2 linked regions of the Oreochromis niloticus genome follow. The protein of the gene in region 2 purifies or fractionates together with the protein of the main gene of each other region. This does not show direct contact. Links are inferred from orthologs where the notes say so. Each region holds a gene or a part of one and is shown on either strand. Other genes may lie near its edges.

Region 1 (6,918 bases), on a different chromosome or scaffold from region 2:
GTTGGTAAACAGCTGGGAATATTGACAGGAGTTGGTCATCTCTCAGAGGAATTCGTTTCCTTCCTGCCGAGTGAAGCTCTTCATTCATTTTAATCGTTTCCACAGTGGAAAAAATGCAGAAAATGAGCATCAGCTCATCCTGATGAACGATAGCAGTAAGTGCTAAGCTTACTGACCCATACACTGCATTTCCTGTGAGTATGTTACAGTAAGGGTCAACTCATATTTCACAAATTAAATTATTTTCACGTGAATCTGCAGCAGCAGGAAACCTAAAGCTTCACCACTACTTTTTCACATCATCTGATGATAGTGAGGCCGAGTTTACAGACTTCTACTTAGTACTGTCACTTTGTATTTTTCTAATTTTACAGTTGTGCTCCTGTGACAAACATCTATAGGTTGTGTTCTCACCCGCTGCACCACAACCACACTTCCTGTCCCAGATCTTTGTCATGCCCATGTTCTTATAAATAATCAGGATTTCCCCATCAGTAATGTAGCAGCTGTCATCGGGTTTCTTTTAACTACGTTGTGAACAGAAGGTAGTTACAGCTTGTTTTAGATCCTCCCTGCTCCCGTGTTTGCCTGCGATTGTAGTAACTACCGTGTTCTCCAGTCTTTGCTTGAAACATGCGTTCAGATTCCCTTGAGGCATTTTCAGCACAGCACAGCACAAAAAAAGGGTTTGAAAATTAACACAGGCACTTGTAAACTTTTAAAGTTTACCTACAAAGGATGACTCCCATGTGACATTTCGGCCAATGGGTCCACATAAAAATCCTCATAAAAGGAGCAGAAGAGTGGCGCAGCAGCAGTGAAAAAAAAAAAAACTATACAACAATGCTAGTTTCTCAGGTAGAGTGCTGTAAAATTAAAGGGACCACATACCCCAACGTCATCGTCGCTCTGTATAAGCTGCGAGTGCCCAAACAGGCGCCTCTTCAACATGGGCTCCAGGAGAGTCAGGTAGACCATGTAGAGCAGCAGCAGGCCCAAAATGGACAGGTACATTATGATGGTAAACTGAAAATAAGAAACAATTACTGTGGGATTGCTCGTTTCCTAGAAAAAAAAAATAATCAGGTGTCCTCTAAGCTGAACAATAATCCATTAAGTCACACACAGCATGAGTCACATGATAGGCTGGCTGTTTTTCATTTTTGCATTTTGCTTTAGACAAAAAAAAGAGGCGTCAGAATAAAAGGACGATAAAACTATAAAACTAAAACTCAATCATTAGATACAGCCCTACGTCACAGCAAAGAAAAAACAACCACGACTCTTTGACCCAACTTGAACTTACCTTAATGGTCCCCGAGCTCCTCTCTTCATATTTACACTCACAGCGTAAACAGTACGCCTCCACATCTTTCCCGTCCACTGGCATGGGATCAACCACGTGGAGACAGTTGCTGACAAAACATTAAAATTAACAAGCTTTCAGCTTTTCAGCTAAACAGACCAAGGACAGCTTGCATCAATGAGAGAAACACAGTGACGGCTTTGTTAGCATACCAGTCCTTAAGAGAGACATTTTGTTTGTAGATTTGACCCTCAACTTCTCGGTACGGCGGACAGATGCATTTACAGCGGATGTCCTCTGAATTCTGCAACAGAGACAGCAAATGTTTATTTTTTTTGTTTCTCAAACACATTTGCACAATATTTGGTACACAAAAGCCTACACATTTCATTATTATGCAAATCACACCAAAATAAAGTTGGAGGATTTTTAAGCCCAATACTTATATTTAGTCATTTAGTAATCTGACATTCTGATTTATCGGATGATTTCCTTTTCTTTCACACAAAGAAAACGTAAACAGATTCATTAACATTTTTTCGTGTGGTTATTTATTTACTCGTTTACATTCTGCCCAGCTCTGCTCAGATTAGCTGATTGTTGTGTTTGTGCTGTTTCAATCAGTGTTGCCAACAGGGAAGACGTATAGTGCCCTCTGATGGACAAACTATGCAACATCAACACCCATAACATGGCAGAAGGATGTTGCTTGTCTCTTTTTTATTTTTTAAATTTTCATGTAATAACAGCTTCTATCAGCCATCAAATTAGTAAAACCAGGAGTGTGTTTGTTAGGATTGATCTGTTAATGAAAAGTAAACCTGAGTAAATGATGACTGAGTGGACGATGCTGAATAAAATGCCGCGATGTTGTTTTTAAGATAGATGGATTTAAATGGAGAGCCTGCATTGAAGCAATTAAACTCTGGGGTGAACAAACTCAGGCAGTTGAACTCTGGCTTTCTCGAACTTAAAACTCAAGAGTTGCCCGTGTGAGAGGTAATCAACTCAGACTTTATGGTCAGACACAGTTTGTTGAACCTGCTTTCTCAACCATAACACTAGTTATTATAGTTATGTCGATACAGGTTACAGATCTCACACGCATTCAGTACGATCACGTGACAATACCCGCATCTTTTGTTTTTACTCACTTTTAGATGGAGTGTCATTATTTTATTTAGATATTTAACTCCTTCACTTTTCTCTATTTAACTGTGCTCCTACCTTACTGACCCCTTTCGTACTGTCGTAATGTATTTTATCCAGCTTTGTGTTTAGTGTTTTGGCCGCTGTCAACACAGGAACTTCCCAATTTCGGGATAAATAGCCTCTTTTTTTCTGTTCTACATCCTCATCATCAACCAGCAAACATAGCAGCCACATTCGCGCATTAGTTAACTTTTCTGACATCCAGCTGTCAAACCCACAGCGACAAGTCATCGTTTAGAGGAGATTTAAAGAAAAGCCATTTCATTTCATCCAGCCATCATCACCATTTCCTCCACATAGCTAGCTAAGCGTGCTAACGTCAGCCTTACCTTCGCTGTCACTTGGCTCAGCAGCACAAAACAAGCCAGGAAGAGAGCCTCGATAAAAAACACCCACTTCATGTTTACAGGAGTGCAGCTCGTTAACAACACAGGTCCAAATGTTTCCACGAACAGCTCCAGCAGTGTGAAGCAAACCCTAACAACTGACGAGATTAGCCATCAAGCTAACTAAACAGCAACAATCGTCAGCTTCCTAGCAGCTGACTTGTAATTTCCGGAAATGGCGGTTGTCTTCCGCACACAGTGCTGAGCCGGCCGTGCTTGGTTAATGACATAATAAACGATGTCCCGGCGCGGGAAAGTTCAGATAATGCCAAATAGCTGCTTGTTTGTCGCCCATCAAAGGTTGTTCGAAATATTATCCAACATTTAAACCAGTTACTTTCAATTAATTGGGTTATATTTCTACAAAAACAAACAAACAAACAAAAACCCTAAAAGTAAACTGAACCGCTGAGGACGTGAAATTAAATCGAACGCACCCTTCGGTTCGACACGCTCGTAAACAGCAGGTGTATCAAACTCTGGTCCGGGGAACACCAGGCGGGTCATTCTTCTTGGAAGACAATTTTTATATTATCATTGTAGAGTCTTTACCTTAGGGCAGGGTTAGGGTAAAGTGCCTTGTGTTTTGGCGCTATATACATAAAAGCGCAACTCAATTAAAACGCTAAGATAAATAAACAAATCGACTATTTATTTTTATAATTTCTTTATAATTCTTTTTTAGCATTTACACTAGTGCTCAAGAACTATTTTGCATTATAAATAATATTTTCGAACCACTTTTTCATATAGATTATTTTCGAATTAATGGGGTTGATAGAAAATGTCCTGCAACTGTAAAATGGCCTTTATAACTATGGAAGATTGGATAATTTCATCACTGAAAAAAACAACGATAATTCCAAATTATGTGCAACCTCGTTAGTCTAATTACTCTAGTTTATCCCCGTCTCCATATCATTTTTGATAAAATAATCATGTTATTTTTCTTGCAAGCATTTTATCTCAAACGTTCTACATACTAACTCAATAATAATAATACTTAATAAAGACCAACTTTATTATTCCTCTGGAGGTGTTAAACATATAAAAACACATGAACTTGTATAGAAATAAGAAAAAGTGGTTGAAAGTGGTGGAAATCAGTTTCCGGTCTTTATTTACAGCACATTCGATGTACAAAATCATAAAAATATACATACTTGTTTCATCTAGGACAGGTAAATATAGTTTACTTCTATTTTACAGAACTTTTCATGTATTCATGGCATCACAAATTGTTCGGTTTCTCAGCAGAGTAATTAGTTGTCTTTGGTTGCTAGTGACCTAGCTGAAGCAGTCATTGTCTTGTGACTAGTTTTGGAAAGGAAAAAGTGTTTTTTAAAGAACGGCAGTGCTCATCCAGACACCTTAGAGCAGCGGTCCCCAACCTTTTTTGCGCCACGGACCGGTTTATGCCCGACAATATTTTCACGGACCGGCCTTTAAGGTGTCGCGGATAAACACAACAAAACAAAACTAGTACCGGTACCGAAAAAAAGAAGATTTATTCACAACACACGTGAAAAGACCCAGGAAAACCGAGTTAACGATAAAAACGATAACAAAATAACGCTGAAAACCGATAAAAACAATACATTTCACACCCGAGCCTCAACTCTCGCGGCCCGGTACCGGTCCGAGGCCCGGGGGTTGGGGACCGCTGCCTGAGAAGACCAAATACGTGAGCCAACAGCAAATGCAGCCATGCTATACCATTAAAATGTATGTAGCTGCTACAAAACATTAGCGTTTCACCTAAAACTTTTTACATCATATACAAGACATTCATCAAAATAATTGCTTTTGTGGCAGGGCTACTTCTTTTGCAGTGCTAATTTCCCCAAGAAAACGTGTGTGCGCGCTATTTGTTCCTGACATTTTTGCAGTATTTCATGCCTACCTGTGCAGGCCATGTTAAAAAACTAAATGTTAAACCTAAACCTATATACAGTGTTACTGACATTCAGCATATATCTGTTCGTCTGTCATATTTGTTTTTCATCCAAATGCAATTAAAGAGTCCCATAATGCCGGCATGTACAGTATTTCTCAACATTCAAATACCCAATTTGGACTTGGAATTTAAATCCCAACTTTAAAATTTAAAGGGTCGTATAATGTCATTCATCTGCTGTTATAAGTATTTTCCAAATGAGATCTCCTAATTCCTCTCCGAGGAAGCCCATATAGATCTAGGTTTGTACCACTTCCTCAGTTAAAAATGTCACTTTTCCATTGGGATCGTTTCATCAGGTGCCGTCCTCTCGTCCAACACATAACCTTAGAATGCGCAGGGGGCAATTGATAAAACACATAAGCTTAAATTAGAAACTGGACCCTCTTATTATGAAAAATCCTGGAACCTTGTGGCAACTTTTTTTTAATTTAATTATTTTTTTTTTTTTAAGGACGGAGGAACCTCAGGACTTTGGACCGCAGGAAGCGAATGAAGGATTTGGGGAACATTTCTCTTGATTCTTGCGCTGTATAGTTGAAGAAGTTTTGTGGGTGAGCCAGCACGTCAAACAGTGCCTTCATGAGCTTCTTGTCCTGAGGGGGGGAAAAAAGAAGTGTGTTATCCAAAAGAATTCCTTACAGTATGTAATTTTTACCCATAAGAAACCACAGTGACACAGGTGTCACTGTCCCTTTACACACAGAGGGAAGTTCCAATAAAGTTTCAACACTTCTCTCTCAGTTTTCCTGACAATAAAATGGGTCAGGGCTCTTATGGGTTAATGTGAGCAGTACTCTGTATTTCTACTTGTTCCCAAAAGAGGGTGCTACACGGTCACTGGATCCAAACCACTAACACTAATAAAGTCTAAATGGTCAGCTGAAAATAGCCCATGAGATAAAATAGCTAAAACTCTTAATGAGCAGGTAAAATAAGTCAGGAATGCAGAGCTTTAAAAGATGAAAGTAATGGATAAATGTAAATATATACAGCTTACACTAATGGTTTTAGGTATTTTAGACCTACTCAGGCTGGAGACCAAAATACTCCCTGTTAAACATTTGTATAATATAATTATAAAATCCCGATACCTTAAGTATTTCCTGGTGATGCTCTGAAGCATATAATCTTCCATCTCTGACGATGTCTTCTATCAACTCCTGGTAGTCCTCTGAAACAAATAAAGTTCATAAATAGCTTAGTAAGAAAAAACAATCTAGATTTAAGCAATATTCAGAGGTATCATCGGTTTATTCTTTCTCAATTCATCAAATTTAAAAGGGATTGTGCAAAAAAACACAAACAAAAAAAAAAAAAAAAAAATGTAGAACCCTACAGAAGATTTAATGGAAACCACAGTTTCTACAGGTAGGGGCTGATTTTTTTTCTCTTAAACAAATGAGGCACACAGTATTTGTTACACCCCACCCCCCAAAAACAACAGACAAAAACCCACAGACATCTTTTTCCAAGTTGTCTCTGATAATCCTCAGGGAGGACACCATGTACCAATTTCAAATGACTTTATGGGTCGTAATGGCACCAAGAACACATCGTCTCTTCTGGGCCATAAAAAAAAAAAAAAGAAAAGAAAAAGAAAAAGATTCCTGCCAGGCCACAAGGCTGCATGAATGAAATGAAAACACTTTGCTCTTCTTCTGAAAGATAAATGCTGAATGAAAATGAGGAGTCCAAAAATTTATATTGGAAAAATGAGAGAGACATCTTTACCATGTTTGAGTTTTAATATAGTTTTAATATAGACATCAAAGGAATTTGCAAAGAAAAGCGTCTGGACTTCTTTAAGTTGCTTGAAGACGTTTCACCTCTCATCCGAGAAGCTTCTTCAGTTCTAAGGTCAAATGGCCGAGAGTCCCAGATTTAAACCCAGTGGGAGTATCCCCCCAAAGAGGGACAAAGGACCCCCTGGTGATCCTCTAATCACATGAGCCAAGGTGTGAAAGTGGGTGTGGGACCTAATCAGCCAGGGTTTCGGGTGAGCTCATTGTGAAACCTGGCCCCACCTTGTCATGTGAATTCCTGAGGTCAGATGG
Region 2 (7,551 bases):
GGATCTTGAAATTTACACACTAGCAAAAAAAGGTTATGAAATTCAACCTTGGTGCCACACTGTTTGTTTAATGAAGCTTATCAAATGTGAGACAGCGGTCGGCTGTTTTCTAAGAATGCAGAAATAGAGGTGTGCATAGAGGAGCAATTTTAGCATAAAAGGAAAGCATACCAAATGAAAGAAAATATGTGTAGCAGTACTATGGGTAATGCTACTATCTGGGGTAACTTTATAGTGATAAGGTTGTGACATTGTAATGATAATCTGTATAGGTGATGATGGTGGGTGAGAAGAAGTTGCTACTATTCATCATGATTATAATAGCATAGGCTGTAAGTCAGGATAACAGAGGTAATGATCGTAGTAGTGTGTAGTAGTGAGTGTAGCCAGGGTTTGTTTTGAGTAATGCTAATCTATTAGATCTGCTGACCTGAAAGAGTCTCCATAATGTTACCAAAAATAAAGACAAACAATGTAAAAATCAGGTGTTTTACACTTACCATAGGTGATGAGGAGCAGGACAAAGGCTTTATTCTTCACCAGGTTGAGGATGGACTGTTTGTAGGAGTAATCTTCAGGAGGGGAGTCTGGTAAGACAGCCTGTGCTTGACTGGGAGGGAGAGGAGGTCTGTCTTTTATGACTGTGGAAAAGGCAGAAAGAGTGAAGTGATGGACCTTTTATGTGAGAAGAAAATAAATCAGAGCCTCTGTGAGCATACAAGAACCAGAAAAGTTAGAAAATGATTGATATGTGGTATCAAATGTAATGACTACACATCTGCATACATACAACCCACATTTTGAATGATAAATGATTTATTTAGATTATTTTTGACTCAATTCAAAGATGTGTTATAGAGTCTGAGGTAGTTTCAGGAAGTCAGCTGCCTCAGCAGTTTGAAATGACTGAACTGCTGCCAAAACCAGGAGTTCCTGAAATTACTGCAATGGAACTCGGGTAATATCTCATCTCTTGATTGGCTCGTTTTAAACCAGCTGCAGTTTCAACACTGTGTGTTTACATACCGTGTCATAGCTATTTAAAGACACTTACTATTTACACCCCAGTTTACAGAATGATGCAGAATCTTAATCTCAAACCCAAATTCATGATCCTGAACTGGATGCTTAGTGTTTTTGAGAATATTTACAATAATCTTAGTCTCAAGAAGACAACCTGGCCCTTAGATGTGCAAAAGCACACTTGCACACCTGTGTACCAGGAAGCAGAGGTGTGCCAGTGTTCTTTTGTACCTGCAGGCCTCTGTCCACATGTACACAACAGAAGTCTGAGTCTGAGCACCACTCCCTGGCAACTGAAACATTTGGCAGTACCAAGAAAACCTATGCTGCTTTGCATAATGTAAGCCAGCGTGTGACTGAGTGATATTAAATGTGTACCTATCACTGCCAGGACGAAGAGGACCGTGGAGACGGCAGCTGTACCGTAGAACATAATCATGATGTTGTGACCTGTGAGTTCAACATTATCAGGGGTGTTAGGAACCAAAACAGGAGGCAACAAGAAGCCAATGGCTGTCCCCAACTACAAACACAAGGCACAGGAAGAGAGAGAAGAGATTATTTACTCACACAAATATTACTATTGATAAACTGAGCATATAAAGAGCTGATGATCTGGTGATGATAGTGTTGTCCATTAGCTGGCTGTGGCTAAGGAATTATTTTTCATCTACTATAGGCCTATTCTTAGGTTTTATTAGTAGTATTATGTTCCATGAGTCCCTAGTTTTTCTCATTTTTCTATTACTAGTAATGAAAATGTTGGAATTTAGACTATTCGTTCGTGGGTACAATAATTTTTGGGGGGTCAATAATTGTCAGTGAATTCTTGGCTGTTATTATTGTGTTTGTTGTTTATTTACTGTAAAAACTGAATGATCACTAAAATAGAATCACGTCTCTCTTCCCCCCTGACTCGGTCTGCTCACTAAACTCCACACAAACCTAACCTATCAATAATCTGTGACACGCGCACGCGCTAACCTGGTTTCCGAGTACTGCCGTGGCGCACGCGGTGGAAACCTCTCGGGGTCCGAACCACACCGAGGCCACGCGGGAAGGCAGGCCGAGGATGAACACCTGCGCCACGGAGCAGATGACCTGCGCGGTGACGGTGACTGCGAACAGCTGGGGGTTCACGCTCGCGCATTTCAGCCAGGCGCCGGCGCAGTTGAGGCCGGCGCCCAGCAGGGCCGTTAAGCGCAGACCCTTTCGGTCCAGCAGCCAGGTGGCGGGGAAGATGAGCGGCACGTAGGCCACCATGTAGACGATGGAGAGCCAGTCCACCTTGTCGTTGGTCACCCCGTAGTACTGCGTGAACACGTTGGTGATAATGCTGTACTGGATCCACTGGAAGGCGTTCACGAGGGAGTACAGGCTGAAAACGGCCAGCACGGCGAACCGGCGGGCGTACACCCTGGTCTCCAGCCTTTTCTCTTCCTCCTCCTCCGCCTCGCCTTCTCCTCCTCCTCCTCCGTTGGGTAGCATCACCTCTCTTTCATCAGGCGGAGCCTCCTTGTCCTCCTCCAGCTCCTGCGCGCGCTTTGAGCCTGTCTCCCCGGCCCCGCCCGCGTGCGCCGCTCCGTGTGGCCGCTCCGCGTGCCGTTCCTCGTCCTCCGGCTCCTTCCTGCCGACCGTGATGTCGTCAGGTGCGCCGGTACCCGCGCGCAGATGCTCCTGCACGAGCTCACCGGCGACCATGATGCGTGTTCGCAGCCTTTTGCTCTTTTTGTGTGATGCTGAGTCCAGAGATGATCGACTGAGGCGAGCTGAGCAGGAAACAGAGAGGTTTCCTCATTTGGTTACCTGTGAAAAAGAAGGCTGAGCTGTAGATGACTGAAATATGAACAACTGCAGACTACACATCCCTAAATATGAAAATACTCGAACATGTCGCAATCCTTTGAAAACAATACCCAGCTTCTGTCAAACAGCGTGCTGCTCCCGGTCTGACACACTTGATTCTCTCTCTCTCTCTCTCCCTGTCTGGTGGTTTCAATACGTCTCTCTACCTTTTAAGCCGACTCTGACACGAAGCCTTTCGATAGCGATGAACCAATAGCAGAGCAGCATGAGCTTGTAGTATCTAGTAGTGCTGCCTGTCTGGGCGTATGTGTGAATGGTAACCGTGGAAGCTCTGATGCGACACTTAGTAACGAAAATGCTCTGCTAGGAAGTCAAAACGAGTCAGTTTCGTTACTAAATCACCTTCTCTTTAATATGTAACAAAAAAATAACGCGAGATCATTTAAATGTTTCTGGATGTTAGACTTTTTCAGAATCTGTTTCTAATTTCTGCTAAATTAGATGAGTGAGTTATTTTCATATGTGATCCGGGCTCCTTGTGAGACCTCTCAGTACCATAAAGTCTGTGGTTCCTAGAAACACGGCCTGTCAGGCTACTCTCCCGTGGAAACAGCTCAGTTTGGGAGCAATAGACACACCCTCTACTTTTTAGATTTGAATCTACTTTGTCTAAAGCAGGGCTGGAGCAGGCACGCTTGACTCACGTGATATTTATGCTGTTGTATGCTCAGGGTGCTGCGATACTTCCCATGATGCACTGAGGATTTCCTTTTTTTTCTTTTTACTCCTGCTGCTAATATGCCACTACTGTATGTGACTAATGTTTGGCCACTATCTCGTGGATTTTATGTTTTATCTACAATCCTCTTTCTTTGGTCACAACAGATGGTTGTGCCTCCCTGAGCCTATGGGAGACCTGGATAAACCGTGTTCTTCCTCACCACAGTCGCCAAGCCCTACCTTAATGGTGATTATCAGATTGTATGGGTTCTTCCTCTAATACTGTAAATGGAATACAAGTAAACATGAACAGAACTGATTGAAAAAATATAAAACTAATCAGTAATTGTTCCTTTAGTCTGTAACTACGCTGCCTGCTCCATATACTCAAAGTAGCCTGTCCATATGCTGAGCATTATCTGCTCTAATCCTAGTGTGACCCAGTGAGACTGGATGCAGCAGCAAGTCTGATCCTACAGGTGATTCACACCTACAGTAAAATCTACACACAGCTGATCTCTTTACTGGACTTTAAGATACAAAGGAAGCAACATTTCACAGCCCTCTCTGGTTTTCATTTCCAATGAATGGCAGTGCAGTGTTGTTTGACTTCACTGAACAACGTGTAAATATTCAGCTTGCAATCATTTATAAATCTCGAGCTTCTAAGTATCCCAATTATTATTATTTTTAAGTAGGTCCTTTCTCAGTGGGATCAATCAAACTACTGTCCACGTGTTGCCTCCTTTTGAAATCATAAAGCAGCTAAATCTTACTATGTCCCTATTTTAAGATACCAGACAAAAAGAAAACCACGGACGTCACAGCTGTGTCTATTTATTTATTTTTTATTTATTTTGTTTTTATGCAGCTGACTTCACAGGTTCTGCAGACTGTTGAAGACAGGTTGAATCTCGTACAAGATATATTGTTTTCTCATATATCAGTGTTTTTGTGAAAGCCTGACAACTAAAGAAAATAATAAAACCAAAGGAAACTAAGATCACACTTCCCACTAAATTTGAAATTTAATATCTGATGTGAGATTCTTACTCCACATTCTAGTAATCTCGGTCCCAGGAGCGAGGGAGGTTCTACTTTCGCTCCCCACAGAGTGGCTCATCCTCCTTAATAAATTGTCTTTGAGACCCCTCTTCCGGTTTCTTGTTGCCCTGGTAACAAGTGTATTGTCACAACTTACCTTTGGATAATTTATGAAAGGAAATCTAGTCCACATTAATACTTCCTACAAAGGTAAAAAGTAATGTCCGGGTATGAGGAGCGGGCTCTGCTCGAGCTGAATCAGAGCAGGGAGACGTGGTGTCAGGTGGAGATGGACCCCCGGCAGGGCTGGGAGAGATCCCAGAGGAGACATTACCGGAGTCACTTGAAGACCAGCCCGGTTCTCCTTACAGCTCTGACCGGCGGACCGCAGCGCAGAGAGGCCTGCACCCAGCGGCCTGCCCCCGTCAAGCTCCCCGAGAGAAGGCACTTCGAGGAGGGCTGTAAGAAGGCTTGTCTTAAGATTTCACAGAAATATTTCTGTAGATCTGATATGGACACAAGAAACTGTGTGTGTGTGTGTCCCAAATACTTTAAAGATATTAATATTTAATTAGGTAATTACATTCTAAAAGGCTGAAAGACTCAGTATTTTAAAACTACAGCAATCATGTAAGATCCTATTCCACAATTTAGTTTATCAAAGAACCCTACTTGCCAGATATTTCAATTTCCCTTATTACACTATTAAAGATGAAATTTGTTTAGTAGCTTCATTTGGTCCACAGTACAGACAAATGAAATTTCAGTGATGAGAGATAGTTTGCACACATGCCATTACATTAGGACCCTACAGGTCACCCGTTTTATGACTGCTGTTGTCAAACATGTGGCCCACATGTGTTTGGGGACAGACCCAGCCTCAGTAGGTCCTTTCCACCTCAGTGGATGATTTTGCAGAAAAGGAGAGCATGGCTGTTTAACGTGCTAAATCTGAGCCTCAAGCTTGAATCATGGTCAGTTTCCCAGCCTTCTTATTAAAAGACTTTACCCACAATGTGTCATACAACACCTTACTAACCCACTTACACCTAGGAGCCACGTTGAAGCCTTTCTTCGCCCTAACAGCAGACTGAAAAAGGAAAAACTGAGGCATGTTATTATCAGTTTGTGCAAAAAAAAAATAAAAAATTGATGCAGTGTTTTTACCAGTCCAGTCTCCTTGACGTTAAATTGATGATATGCAGCCCACAAAGTAAAATGAGTTTCACACCACTTACCCAGACAATCATCTAATGCAAATTTACCACTTGTACTGTAGTTAATTGGCTTAAAGTAGAAAATCTGTAGTGCACCACTTAATTTCTGCATGTCTTGATCAGGCTGACATAAACATATTTATCAAAAACATGAGGTGGAACTATGCTGTATCAATGATTTATGAAGGAAAACAAAACAAGAGTTTGCTGATTCTATTCTGCTTGCTTTTACTTAACTGAAATTCTACTTAAGTATTTTTTTGTCAATGTTCAATAGAACTTTGTTTGAGAACAGCTGTATTATTTGATTTGTGATCCAAGAGAAAATGCGCAGCTGTTGACTCCTGAGATCTGTCTCTTCTCTTCCAGACAAAACTCACCTGGTCTAGAGAGCTGCAGCCTTAGAAGATGACCTGAGCTCTTACTACAGATACACCTGGGACCCAGACGTGGGGCAACTTTCAGTATTTTATTTTCATGACTAATATCTGACGTAATACAAAACCCCAAATATGCTGGAGATCATGACGCATGAGGTCTTGAGACATTTGATTGTGCTTGTTATTGACAGTACTGATATTAAAAACTCATTTTTGAAAAATAATTTCTATGCATCACTCATTTTGGTCAAGAAAGACATCTTATTAATTATTAGAATTATCTGCAAGACTTTGCAGAAAGCTTCTAGCTTGTGTGAAACTTTAAAAAAAAAACAAAAAAAACTCAAAAGTAAAGAAAAACCTTTCTGATATTCAAACGTTAGCAGTGTTATTCATCATGCGTTTAAAAAAGTTCACGTTGAGCCTCGCAGTGAAACACTGAGGGGCGGACAGTAGTAAAGGGAGTTATGTTTTCCATGACGTCACACACTGGGTGAGCCTTGGATTTCGAAATCACGCTCACGTCACTGTCAGCGTGTTTTAGCTTTGGGGAAGAGTCTGTATGCGTTGTGTGCGGTGACCAGCCGAACAGTTTCTGGAGGGAGACCTTTGACATCGGTGATGTAGCGACATGGTAGGATGATGTTGGCGGGCTCATTCCTCACCTGGTAGACAAAAGACAGATTAAACATGTCTGCACTCGTGGCGCTGTGTCTCAATATGATGATGATTTTAAAGCCTTTCAAACTTACATGCTGGTGAAGCCCGAGGGCAGGAGAGTCTGTCTCAAGACAAATGTGTTCCAACGGGATCTGCTTGATTAACTTGTATCTCTGTGTGGCGGTATTAAAACTGTTTATTCAGGTGACTCAGCAAAAAATTTTATATAATCTTTTCCACAGGATGACACTTCTCATCTCACCGGTTTGCTTCTGCTTCTGCAGGTGACTCAGCAAAAAATTTGCAAAAACTTTTTTTCCATAGGACGAAACTTCCCATCTCACCTGTTTGCTTCTGCAGACAGCAGGGGGAAAAGAGAAGAGGTAGCCCGCCTTCACACCTTCCAGAGCGACCGATGGCTTCCCCGCAAAGTTATGAAGCAGAGCTCGGCTGATGCCTGACAGAAAAACAGAACATGAGATAACGTTCAGATGTCTGGATGGTTCGCTGGAATCGAACACCCACCTTGTTCCTTCATGGTCTCAATCGTGACCCTGGCAGCTGATCTGGAGTGGACGTTCCTGAACAGAAATTCACAATCAACACGTTACATAGACTTCTATGTGGATTAAAAACCTTCACTTAGCCACTTATGCATGCTCGGCAGACTGACTGTTTGATCATTTGTGTCTGACCATCAC

What was found. Proteins that work in one complex are often made in the same cells at the same time.
Region 1: the proteins of flvcr1 (region 2) and tmem9b purify together in Homo sapiens (co-immunoprecipitation; 3 studies listed by BioGRID and IntAct, counting the BioPlex papers as one, with this or other methods). This does not show direct contact. The link is inferred for Oreochromis niloticus from reciprocal best matches to the Homo sapiens genes FLVCR1 and TMEM9B.

The regions. Positions count from the first base shown.
Region 1 is NC_031965.2:20,257,161-20,264,078, forward strand, and holds the start of tmem9b (transmembrane protein 9B), read right to left. Parts: upstream 3,109-6,918; 5' UTR 2,920-3,108; coding exon 2,848-2,919; intron 1,611-2,847; coding exon 1,519-1,610; intron 1,416-1,518; coding exon 1,307-1,415; intron 1,027-1,306; coding exon 892-1,026; intron 1-891. Other genes in the region: scube2 (signal peptide, CUB and EGF-like domain-containing protein 2), read right to left, coding at 5,311-5,457, 5,956-6,035. UniProt on the Homo sapiens protein: Enhances production of pro-inflammatory cytokines induced by TNF, IL1B, and TLR ligands. Has a role in TNF activation of both the NF-kappaB and MAPK pathways.
Region 2 is NC_031980.2:22,516,794-22,524,344, forward strand, and holds the start of flvcr1 (choline/ethanolamine transporter FLVCR1), read right to left. Parts: upstream 3,064-7,551; 5' UTR 2,940-3,063; exon of another isoform or gene 2,830-2,939; 5' UTR 2,725-2,829; coding exon 2,008-2,724; intron 1,547-2,007; coding exon 1,402-1,546; intron 642-1,401; coding exon 501-641; intron 1-500. Other genes in the region: spata45 (spermatogenesis-associated protein 45), read left to right, coding at 4,814-5,054, 6,180-6,199; putative deoxyribonuclease tatdn3, read right to left, coding at 6,721-6,855, 6,943-7,023, 7,195-7,307, 7,376-7,431.